Macaca mulatta: one gene and its partners. The protein of the gene in region 1 purifies or fractionates together with the protein of each later gene. This does not show direct contact. Links are inferred from orthologs where the notes say so. Each region holds a gene or a part of one and is shown in the gene's direction. Other genes may lie near its edges.

Region 1 (3,140 bases):
TTATGGTATTTATTCATCCCTCGATCGTTCAGAACAAGGACCCACCAGCTCTTTCATACCAAAGCCATGTTGGAGACCCTGAGATGACTCAGACTCAAGTGCCAGCCTGAGGGTGGCGAGGGAAACACACACACACACAAGCCTTTTCCTCCCATGCCCTGCCTGCCCAGGGCCCAGATAGGGAGCAGAGGTGCAGCTGTTCAGAGGCAGGGCCCAGAGACAAGTGGTGGCAGGCGGAAGAGCCTTCCTGGGCAGGGGAAGAGCTGGAGGAAAGGTTGGCAGGGGTGGGGCGGGGGGTGGTGGGCACCGGGGATGTGGCTGGGGCCAGGGGGCCAGGAAGGAGGGTGCTGAGGCTCTGAGGTGAAGCCACCAGGGCCAGACCACGCAGGGCCTTGTGGGACTCTGTCCTGGGGGAAATGAGGAAGCAGAGTGGGCTGTGAGCAGGGCAGGGGTGAGGGCAACCCCATGGGAGAAGCAAGCAGTGTTAAATGAGGGTGATGCGGGCAGCTGTCATCGTTGAGGTAGCTCAGTTCACTGGGGGAGCCCAGACAGGGCCCCGACCCAACCTGAAGGTCAGGAGCCTCCTCTCAGAGGATCTGACATCTGAGGCAGGTCTTCAAGGACAGAGGAAGGGACTGGCGGAGGGACAAGGACTTTGTCCAGGGCGCTGGGGAGCTATGGGAGAGCTGTGAGCAGGGGAGAGCCAGGGCCACGTGGGAATGGACTGGAGGGAGGCTGGGGGAGAAGACAGAGCCCAACTGGGGCCTTGGGGACAGGGCAGAGTTGGGGCAGGAGAGACAGGACTTGAGGGTGGATGAGTTGTGGGGTCTGAAGCGGGGAGAGTCAAAGGCTGAGGCAACTTGTGGCCCCTGGCACCCCCATTTTGTGGGGCGGCCTTTCCACGGGTCCCCAGCTCAACTCTGGCCACCCCCACTACCAGGTTGGCCCCAGACTCCCGGCTGAACCCTCATCGCAGCCTCCTGGGCACCGGCAACTATGACGTCAACGTGATCATGGCCGCTCTGCAGGGGCTGGGCCTGGCCGCTGTGTGGTGGGACAGGAGGAGGTAGGCCCCAGAGCCGCACAGCACATCCTGGGCCGGGCACAGAGGGCACCCTGTCGTGTGAGCCTGTTGGGGGGTCAGGGAGGGGAATGTGGCCGGGGGGGGCTGGCTTGAATGCAGGAAGGCTGGTGCTGATGGGTTAGTGGGGGAGATCAGGCGGTCGGCAGGCTGAGACGCTGGGTGGATGATGGTTACCGGGTGAATGCTGAGTAGGTGGTTGGATGTGTTGGGTGAGGGGGAGTGAGGGGATTGGGTGTTCATGGTCAGTGGACAACAGACAGGAGGCTGGGGAGTTGGGTGGATGAATGGGAGGTTTTGATGGCTGGCTGGCCAGTGGCCAGGTGTGTGGCTGGTGGATGAGGGGTAGACCAATGGCAGGTGGGCCAAGAGTGGGTGAGGACTGGGGGCATGGTGAGTCCACTGTTGGGTGAATGGCTGGCTGGGTGGTGGCTGGGTGGTGGGTGGTGGACAGTAGATGGCTAGTTGGATGGTGATGGTGGCGGGGAGGTGAATGCATAGATGGAGGTGAGTGTGTGAATTGTTGTTGGGAAGTTGGCTGGTGGCTGGGAGGCCCGGTGGGGTGGGCGGATCATGCCTGGATCCTGGGTGGCTGTGTGAGGAGTAAGTTGGTGGGTGGGTGGCTGGACAGACAGGGTGATGGTGGTTGGTGAAGGGCCGATGTGAGTTGGGTGAATGGTGGGTGGATGGGTGGGAGGTCTGGTTGGGCGGCTGCATGGGTGGGAGGTTTGAGTGGGCGGGTGAACGGAGAGTGTTGGGAACCAGGGTGGCTGATTAAGGAATACCTCTGGGTGGGTTCAGGAGGCCCCCACCGCCGCCAGCCTGGGCCCCACATGGTCAGCCACATTTCACCGGCGGGCAGAGCAGGCCCTGATGGCGGTGTCCCCTCCCTGCCCGCACAGGCCCCTGTCCCAGCTGGCCCTGCCCCAGGTGCTGGGACTAATCCTGAACCTGCCCTCGCCCGTGTCTCTGGGGCTGCTGTCACTGCCGCTACGCCGGCGGCACTGGGTGGCCCTGCGCCAGGTGGACGGCATCTACTACAACCTGGACTCCAAGCTGCGGGCGCCCGAGGCCCTGGGGGACGAGGACGGAGTCAGGTGAGCCCCGCAGAGGTGATTCCAAGACCAGGGGCCTGAAACCCCACTCCCCAGAGGGAATGCCCAGGCTGGCTGAGCCTCAGTCTCCCCATTTCTCCCACCCAGGGCCTTCCTGGCGACTGCGCTGGCCCAGGGCCTGTGTGAGGTGCTGCTGGTGGTGACCAAGGAGGTGGAGGAGAAGGGCTGCTGGCTTCGGACAGACTGATCTCAGCTGACCGTCGGCGCCCACAGCACAGTCCCTGCGCGTCCCCCTCTGACTGCGCACACTGCGTGCCTGGGAAAGGCCTGGGGAGGCCCGGCCCCCTCCCCACACCCCTGCTCCCCACTGCCGCTGCTGCCTCAATAAATCTGCTGATTTTCTGCCGCCTGGCCTGTGTCTGACTGCCCCGCCCTTCTGGGGCCTCTTCTACTCAGTCACTCCCACTTCTCTGACCGGCCAGACACCCTGGTGGGTGGGGCTGAGAGCCCAGGAGTCCTCCTGGTTCTCTGCCGCCTCATGCCAGTTGCTCACCGCTGGGCCTCAGCTTCCTCATCAGTGACACAGCAGAAAACAGTACAAGTCCGTGCCCCTGGGGCTCACGCTCCGCCGGTGCTGGAGAGAGACCAGTGGCGAACGAATGCGTTTGATCTGGGTTCCACGGGGGTACTTGCTAAGGAGAAAGCAGGTGTTTACTTCTTTATTCGATTGATTGAGACAGTGTCTCACTCTGTCACCCAGGCTGGATTGCAGTGGGTCAATCACAGCTCACTGTAGCCTTGAACTCCTGGGCTCAGGTGATCCTCCCACCTCAGCCTCCCAAGTAGCTGGGACCTCAGGTGCCATACCTGACTACTTTCTTTAAATTGTTTTGTAGAGATGGGATCTTGCTCTGTTACCCAGGCTGGTCTTGAACCCCTGACCTCAAGCAATCTGCCTGCCTCGGCTTCCCAAAGTGCTAGGATTACAGGTGTGAGCCACCGTG
Region 2 (4,130 bases), on another chromosome or scaffold:
GAGGAAGAGAGGAAGAACGATAAAACGACTGAAGAAGGCTTTTAAAAAGTCTTCAAAGATCTTGATGGCCATGTTACAGAAATGTATTAGAGCCTTTTAAAAAGCTTAGTGATATGGTTAAATTGTCATCGTGGGGAAGATAAGCTTTAGTAGTATTTGTGTTAGCTGGACCGGAGGAGGACCTGTACATAGAAGTCAGTCCATGAGAGAGTCCAGATATACTAGAAACTGTGATGAGGAAAATACTCAATTCAGAGAGGAAAAAAGTGATTTGAGAGGTAAGGAATGATTGTTGTATATCCTCATGCATATCTGTCGGATAAGTGGTATTTTTGGCTTTTATGTGAAACCGCTTTTTAAGTTGGTCATTTTGACAGACTTTCCCAGGGCTATCAATAGAACCAGAGCTGCTTGCCTTTTGTGCCATTTATTTCTTTCTCTATTCCTTGAGCACAACTTAGTGTAAAATCCCTTGTAAGACTATCTAATCACTTTTGTCTATATCCATGGTTCTTAAAGCATGGTCCTCTGACTAGCAGCATCAGCAACACCTGGTAACTTGTTAGAAATACTACTTCTTAGGTGCCACCCCATACCTGCCAAATGGGAAACTGGCCATGGGGTCTAGCAATATATGTTTTAACAAACCTTCCATGTGATCCTGACAGATGCTTGAATTTGAGAACCAGTAATCTACAGAAATACCGTTCCTTATCTGCCCTAAATTGTTCTTCTGTTTTTGCCAGGTCTAGTTCCAATCCAGATGGGACCAGGTACCTCTATTATCTGGGATTACTATAGCTGGTACAGGTTTAGAATCAGTAGTCCCTTATCACAGGCACTAATGGCATAATATTGTTAGGGTGGGTGAAAGAGCTGCAACACGGAAGCATCCACAACATTTTCATTCATACCACCAATTAGAGCCTAGAGGAGCAGAAGTGAGAGGGTTATAAAAGGTAACTCCAATTAAGAGTGTTCCCTTGACTTAAATGAAAGTCCCTTGGGGACTGCACTCTGTAGAGTTGGGGCCACTGAGGTTTTTCTATCCTTGTTTTTTTCTTTCCTGGCTCTAGCTGCATCTTACACAGATAGCTCTGATGATGAGGTTTCTCCCCGAGAGAAGCAGCAAACCAACTCCAAGGGCAGCAGCAATTTCTGTGTGAAGAACATCAAGCAGGCCGAATTTGGACGCCGGGAGATTGAGATTGCAGAGCAAGGTAAAGAAAGGGAGTGGTTTAGGGGACGAGAAACGACCCTCTTGTTGGCCATCAGAATCCACAAACAACTTAAGACTTGAAAGCTGACTTGAAAGTATACTGGGAAGAAAGTATTATGGACTTCCGGATACACACTTCTCTCTCTATGGAACTTGAGTCTCAGGATTCTTGTTCTCTCTTCCTTCTGTTCTCAGCATGTGGTGATGACACACAGAGTAGTTTCTGTTTTCCTCCCCGCCCCACCCCACCACCGTATTCAAAGATCTACATGGCAGAATTGGCAAGTCCTAGATCACTACTTGGTAGTTGGTTATATGGGATCTTACTATAGCTGCCAATGCCAGAGACCCAGATTGCCCAGAGACAGCTGATGAGGAAGGGTTTTAAGCTAAGGATGTGGTGACCTAGCGTCTTGTTTGGTCCTGAGCACCCTCTGCTGGAGCAGAGTAAAAGTGACTGACAAACAGTTGAATCTTGGTTTCCCTACCCCAACCACTCCCAGTAAGGTCCTCTTTACTCTTGTGTTGTTTACACATTGAAGGCATGTTCTTTACTGAAAGAGAATAGAGAAACCAAACAGACTGACAGGATACGGTAAGACAGCATAGAAAAACAGAAGTTAGTGATTTCAGCTGAGGGTACAGTCTTTCTGGTCTGATGATTTTATATATAGGGATCTGTTAGCCAGTGCCTTAACTACTTTCCTCTCTTCCCAAATGAATGATGAGATTTACCCTTCATTTTGATCAGTTTTAAGGATTTACTTCATTCTCTGTTCAGTCCTCTGTGTATAAAGCTGAAGCAGTAGAGGAAGAGAGAAACTCCAAGTGGTTGCATGACCGCTCTCCACTATTACTGTGCTGTTGAAGCTGCCAGTCATCATGAAAATAGGCTTAAAGTTTTTCTGTCTCATCTCACCGTATCTCAACAGATCCAGACCAGCCCTGGGGCAGGAACTGATGATACTGCTAGTGCAGACCTAGCTCAAATCCTCTGTTCTTTCACAGACATGTCTGCTCTGATTTCACTCAGGAAACGTGCTCAGGGGGAGAAGCCCTTGGCTGGTGCTAAAATAGTGGGCTGTACACACATCACAGCCCAGACAGCGGTGAGTTTGTTGGAAGAAAAGAGGGACTTCTGATAAGGGGAAGAAAGAAATCAATGTTTTTTTTTGTTTCACTTTTCCTTCCTAACTCACCAACCTCCAAATGCTAACTATTAGTAGGATCTCCCTGCTACACAATAGTGGGGTTTTCTGGGGGTTTTTTGTATGTGTAAACCCACTTTCAGCAAACTTGACCTAGGAAAGTCTAGATTTGCAAACATATGATTGTTATAAAATGTTATTAAGACTTTTAGAAACCTACGTTTTATGTAAAGTTAAACACCAGTGCACCACCTCGCTGGAGTACACCCCTTTCTAACTTCCCAGTGTAGCGCCTGTTGGTGCAGAGTTGATAGGTATTGTTATCTTGCTGAGGCTTGCTCTCCATTCCTGGGTGGCCCTTCTCTTCCTCACCCTGTCTTCCTATACCTCTACACAGGTGTTGATTGAGACACTCTGTGCTCTGGGGGCTCAGTGCCGCTGGTCTGCTTGTAACATCTACTCAACTCAGAATGAAGTAGCTGCAGCACTGGCTGAAGCTGGTAAGTTCAGTATTTTTTTTTTTTTTTTTACCAAATTTGCCCCAAAATAGTTATCCAAACATATAACTTTTATGTATCAAAATTGTCATTACAATGTCATATATGTCTAGAGGCTGTAAAATTGGGGATGGTGAAAACCTCAACAGGAAGAATGTGGATAATAAAATTAAGATGTATATCCATGATGGAATATTATGTAGTCATTAAAAATGACCTTTGAAAATAATCTAATGGCATGGGGACATGCACAGTTCTGGTGTTAGTTGAACGAGGAAGAATGTTAAACTATATACGTGCTATCAGTTTTGTGAGAGAGCACAAGTAGGAAGTGCCTTTTATATTGATAGTGCATTAAATAATTTGGTATTCAGTATGGCATTGAAAATATATGAGCTATTCATGAGTTTAATTAAACAAAATAATTTTTTATTATTCAGGCCAGGCCTGGTGGCCCATGCCTATAATCCCAGCACTTTGGGAGGCCGAGGCGGGCAGATCACTTGAGGCCAGGAGTTCAAGACCAGCCTGGCCAACATGGTAAAACCCCACCTCTACTAAAAATACAAAAGTTAGCCGGGAGTGGTGGTGTGCGCCTGTAATTTCAGCTACTCCGGAGGCTGAGGTAGGAGAATCACTTGAACCCGGGAGGCAGAGACTGCAGTGATCCGAGATCATGCCACTGCACTGCAGCCTGGGCGACAGAGTGAAACTCCATCTCAAAAATTAATAACAATAATAATAATAATTTTTATTATTCAAATGTTCAGAAGAAAATCACCATGAAGTTTCTTTGAGGACCTCTCATCTTTCTCTCTTCCCTTCTCTTCTCTTTCTCTTTCTCTTTCTTTCTCTTTCTCTTTCTCTTTATCAAGATGGAGCCTTACTCTGTTGCCCAGGCTGGAGTGCAATGGTGCAGTCTCGGCTAACTGCAACCCCTGCCTCCTGGATTCAAGTGATTATCGTGCCTCAGCCTCCTGAGTAGCTGGGATTGCAGATGCACGCCACCACACCCAGCTAATTTTTGTATTTGTAGTAGAGATGGGGTTTCACCATGTTGGCCAGGCTAGTCTCGAACTCCTGACCAGCCTGGATGTTTGATCTGCCTGCCTTGGCCTCCCAAAGTGCTGGGATTACAGGCGTGAGACTGCACCCAGCCAGACCTCTCATCTTTCTAAGAACCTCAGAAAGTAACTTTATAATACTTTTGGGGTTTTTTGTTTATTCTTTTCTGATAAGTGTTTACTGCAAAAAATTTAGGAAGTT
Region 3 (4,130 bases), on another chromosome or scaffold:
AGCTCACTGCAACCTCTGTCTCACCGTTTCAAGCCATTGTCCTGCCTCAGCCTCCCAAGTAGCTGGGACTACAGGCGTGCGCCACCATGCCCGGCTAATTTTTCTGTATTTTTAGTAAAGATAGGGTTCACCATGTTGGCCAGGCTGGTCTCGAACTCCTGACCTCAGGTAATGACCCACCTCAGCCTCCCAAAGTGGGATTACAGGCATGAGCCACCATGCCTGGCCATGTGTTTGGTTTTTTGGAGACAGGGTCTCACTCTATTGTCCAGGCTGGAGTTCAGTGGCACAGTCACGACTCACTACAGCCTCCATCTCCCATGCTCAAGCAGTCCTCCCACCTCAGCCTTCCTAGTAGCTACCCAGCTTTTTCATGTCATTAAGGTGGGAGCTTCTCTTGTAGCTTTGTGTATTCTAAACAGAAGCAGAACTGTAAATCTGTGTTTTTTAAGAAAAGTTTTGGCTCTGAAGTCCTTGATTTATTAAATCTTATGGGGAGGCTTAATTTAAATTGGTAAAAACATAGAGTCAGCTGGAGCCTCCCTCTTCCCATGGCTTCCCCCAATACTTGCCTTCTTCTTAGAATACTGAAGAAGTTCTGTAGAGCCCAACTTGAAAATCACTGGCCTAAGTCATTCCTGTTGTATTTTCTGATTGTAAAATATATAAACTTTATCTCCTTGACTAGTTGTTTGGCCCAGGCTTGCTCATCCCCTGCTTTGTCTTTAATACAGGTACTTATGGAAACTCTAGGTGCTCTGGGGGCCCAGTGCCGATGGGCTGCCTGCAACATCTATTCCACTCTCAATGAAGTGGCTGCTGCTCTAGCAGAAAGTGGTAAGAGCTTGTTCTCTGTGCCTTTGGCTAAAGTAAGTCTCCAAAAAGCTCTGTTGTTTCAGCATAAATCTTTAAAGAAGGTTGACAATAAAAGAACTATCTTGGAAGAAATAGATCTCAATTCTTGATGAATTTACTTTTTCTGGCCTTCGCTTGTCAAATATGATCTAGTTAACTTTGCCATTTTACAGTTGACAAATATCTACCTTTGTCTAATATTCCATTATTAGGTAATGCTTTGTTTTGACTCACTGATTTACTAATAGCAGAGCACTAGTGAACACTACTCATTGAGGTAACATGGATTACAGGAGAAAATGCTTCACCCTTAGTTTTGTGACCCTATTGGTTTTCCAGCAAGTAATTTGCCCTGATTTAATGTTTGGTGTTTCTGCTTCAGGAGTAAAGAGGACTTGACCTGGCAGATTAATATTTGATCACAGCATCCACTAGTAGTTGATGGACAAAAGAAATAGAGAAATTTGGACTTTGCCAGCCTCTTGCCTTTACTCTTTGGCAGTACAGCTCAGCGTTTCATTTGTTCTTTCATTTTAATTTACTTATTTATAAGATTTCATGGCTGTATCTATGATAGAAAAATATTTAATACTTTATTAATACAAATAGTAAATGTGTACCCCAGTGAATACGCATTCATTTCTTTTCCTTTTTTTTTTTTTTTTTTTTTTTTTGAGATGGAGTCTTGCTCTGTCGCCCAGGCTGGAGTGCAGTGGCCGGATCTCAGCTCACTGCAAGCTCTGCCTCCTGGGTTCAGGCCATTCTCCTGTCTCAGCCTCCCGAGTAGCTGGGACTACAGGCACCCGCCACCTCGCCCGGCTAATTTTTTTGTATTTTTTAGTAGAGACGGGGTTTCACCTTGTTAGCCAGGATGGTCTCGATCTCCTGACCTCGTGATCCGCCCGTCTCGGCCTCCCAAAGTGCTGGGATTACAGGCTTGAGCCACCGCGCCCGGCCGTTTTCCTTTTTTTTTTAAGTAGAGACAGAGTCTTGCTCTGTCACCCAGGCTGGAGTGCAGTAGTACAATAGTGTTTCCCTGCATCCTTCAATTCCTGGGAACAGGTGATCCTCCCACCTCAGTCTTCTGAGTAGCTGGGACTTTAGGCACATGCCACCATGCCCAGCTAACTTAAAAAATTTTTTTGAAGACACAAGGTCTTGCTCTGTTGCTCAGGCTACTCTCAAACAGCCGGCCTCAAGTGATCCTCTCGCCTCATCCTCCCAAAGTGCTGGGATTAGAGGTGTGAGCCACCATGCCCAGCCCATTTTTTTTTATTTCTTAATTTAATTTCTATTTTTAATTTTTATTATTTTATTATTTTTATTTTATTTATTAATTTTTTTGAGACAGAGTCTCACTCCGTCGCACAGGCTGGAGTGCAATGGTGTGATCTCAGCTCACTGTAACCTCCGCCTCCCGGGTTCAAGCAACTCCCCTGCCTCAGCCTCCTGAGTAGCTGAGATTACAGGTGCCCTCCACTACACCTGGCTAATTTTTGTATTTTTAGTAGAGACGGGGTTTCACCATGTTAGTCAGGCTGGTCTCGAACTCCTGACCTCAGGTGACCCGCCTGCCTTGGCCTCCCAAAGTGCTGGGGTTACAGGCGTGAGCCACTGTGCCCAGCAACCCCATTTCTTTTTTTTAAACAAATGCTTACTGACCTACTCTAAGAGCTGTAAGGGCAAATGAGGCAATGTCTTTACCCTCAGAATCTTATATTTTGGTGAGGAGATAATACACATATATAAATAATGATACAAGGACATATATGATAAATGCCATGACAGATTATAAATCCATATTCACTATACAAACAAGAGGCTTAGAAAAGTTCAGATTCCCACTTTGGGAGGCCGAGACAGGTGGATCACCTGAGGTCAGGAGTTCAAGAGCAGCGTGGCCAACATGGTGAAACTCCGTCTCTACTAAAAGTACAAAAATTAGCCGGGGGTAGTGGAGGGCACCTGTAATCCCAGCTACTCAGAAGGCTGAGGCAGGAGAATCGCTTGAACCCAGGAGGCAGAGGCTGCAGTGAGCCGAGATTGCACCACTGCACTCTAGCCTGGGGGACAGAGCCAGACTCCATCTCAAAAAAAAAAAAAAAGGCCGGGCGCAGTGGCTCACACCTGTAATCCCAGCACTTTAGGAGCCTGAGGCGGGCAGATCATGAGGTCAGGAGTTCGAGACCAGCCTGGCCAATATGGTGAAACCCCGTCTCTACTAAAAATACAAAAATTAGCTGGGCGTGGTGCCACGCACCTGTAGTCCCAGCTACTCAAGAGGCCGAGGCAGGAGAATCACCTGAACCCAGGAGGTGGAGGTTGCAGTGAGCCGAAATGGTGCCATTGCACTCCAGCCTGGGTGTCAGAGCGAGACTCCATCTCAAAAAGAAAAAGAAAAGTTCAGATTCCTTGAGCGCTCATTTCCAGCTGGGTTAATCAGGCTTCGTTAGGAACATGACACTTAACTGGGCTATGAATTATAGTAACGTTTTAGCAAGTGGAAAAACACTTTTTTTTTTCTTAATAATAGGGTGGGATGATTAAAGTATAGAAGCAAAAAAAATTAAAGTGTAATTGGGAAATGGTGAGAATGCCAGTTTGAGTGGATCAAGAAGTAACTGTTTCTGGTTTTTCTTTTCCCACTAGTCACTTTTTTTTTTTTTTTTTTTGGAGACAGAGTCTTGCCCTGTCCCCTAGGCTGGAGTGCAATAACAACGATCTTGGCTCACTGCAACCTCCGACTCCCAGGTTCAAGCCATTCTTCTGCCTTAGCCTCCCCAGTAGCTGAGACGACAGGCGTGCACCACCACACCCAGCTAATTTTTGTATTTTTAGTAGAGACAGGTTTCATCATGTTGGCCAGGCTGGCCTTGAACTCCTGATCTCAGGTGATCCACCCACCTCAGCCTCCCAAAGTGCTGGGATTACAGGAGTGAGCCACTGTGCCTGGCCCCCTCTCGTTACATTTTAAACAGCTGTCATACTTTTGTCCATTCTACTTGTCCTCATTGGGCTAATAAGAGCAGAATGACCATCAAAGACAAAGGAATGGATAAAGGGGCTGAAGGCAATGCCAATCAGTGAAGAATGTCAATCCAAGGATTATAGCAGAATGAGAGAGTTGGAAATTAGGAACCAGAATCTTCTCACTAAAATTTGGCGATCAGCCTCTTTTGGTCTTTAATGGTTTCTCTTTGTTCCTTTTTTTCTCAGGATTTCCTGTTTTTGCCTGGAAGGGAGAGTCAGAAGATGACTTTTGGTGGTGCATTGAT

The links.
Region 2: the proteins of JOSD2 (region 1) and AHCYL1 purify together in Homo sapiens (affinity purification with mass spectrometry; 4 studies listed by BioGRID and IntAct, counting the BioPlex papers as one, with this or other methods). This does not show direct contact. The link is inferred for Macaca mulatta from reciprocal best matches to the Homo sapiens genes JOSD2 and AHCYL1.
Region 3: the proteins of JOSD2 (region 1) and AHCYL2 purify together in Homo sapiens (affinity purification with mass spectrometry; 3 studies listed by BioGRID and IntAct, counting the BioPlex papers as one, with this or other methods). This does not show direct contact. The link is inferred for Macaca mulatta from reciprocal best matches to the Homo sapiens genes JOSD2 and AHCYL2.

What each region holds. Positions count from the first base shown.
Region 1 is NC_133424.1:62,895,953-62,899,092, reverse strand, and holds the end of JOSD2 (josephin-2), read left to right. Parts: intron 1-940; coding exon 941-1,066; intron 1,067-1,983; coding exon 1,984-2,178; intron 2,179-2,283; coding exon 2,284-2,383; 3' UTR 2,384-2,542; downstream 2,543-3,140. UniProt on the Homo sapiens protein: Cleaves 'Lys-63'-linked poly-ubiquitin chains, and with lesser efficiency 'Lys-48'-linked poly-ubiquitin chains (in vitro). May act as a deubiquitinating enzyme.
Region 2 is NC_133406.1:130,183,894-130,188,023, reverse strand, and holds part of AHCYL1 (S-adenosylhomocysteine hydrolase-like protein 1), read left to right. Parts: intron 1-1,076; coding exon 1,077-1,220; intron 1,221-2,227; coding exon 2,228-2,328; intron 2,329-2,764; coding exon 2,765-2,867; intron 2,868-4,130. UniProt on the Homo sapiens protein: Multifaceted cellular regulator which coordinates several essential cellular functions including regulation of epithelial HCO3(-) and fluid secretion, mRNA processing and DNA replication.
Region 3 is NC_133408.1:169,039,339-169,043,468, forward strand, and holds part of AHCYL2 (adenosylhomocysteinase 3), read left to right. Parts: intron 1-734; coding exon 735-837; intron 838-4,071; coding exon 4,072-4,130. UniProt on the Homo sapiens protein: May regulate the electrogenic sodium/bicarbonate cotransporter SLC4A4 activity and Mg(2+)-sensitivity. On the contrary of its homolog AHCYL1, does not regulate ITPR1 sensitivity to inositol 1,4,5-trisphosphate.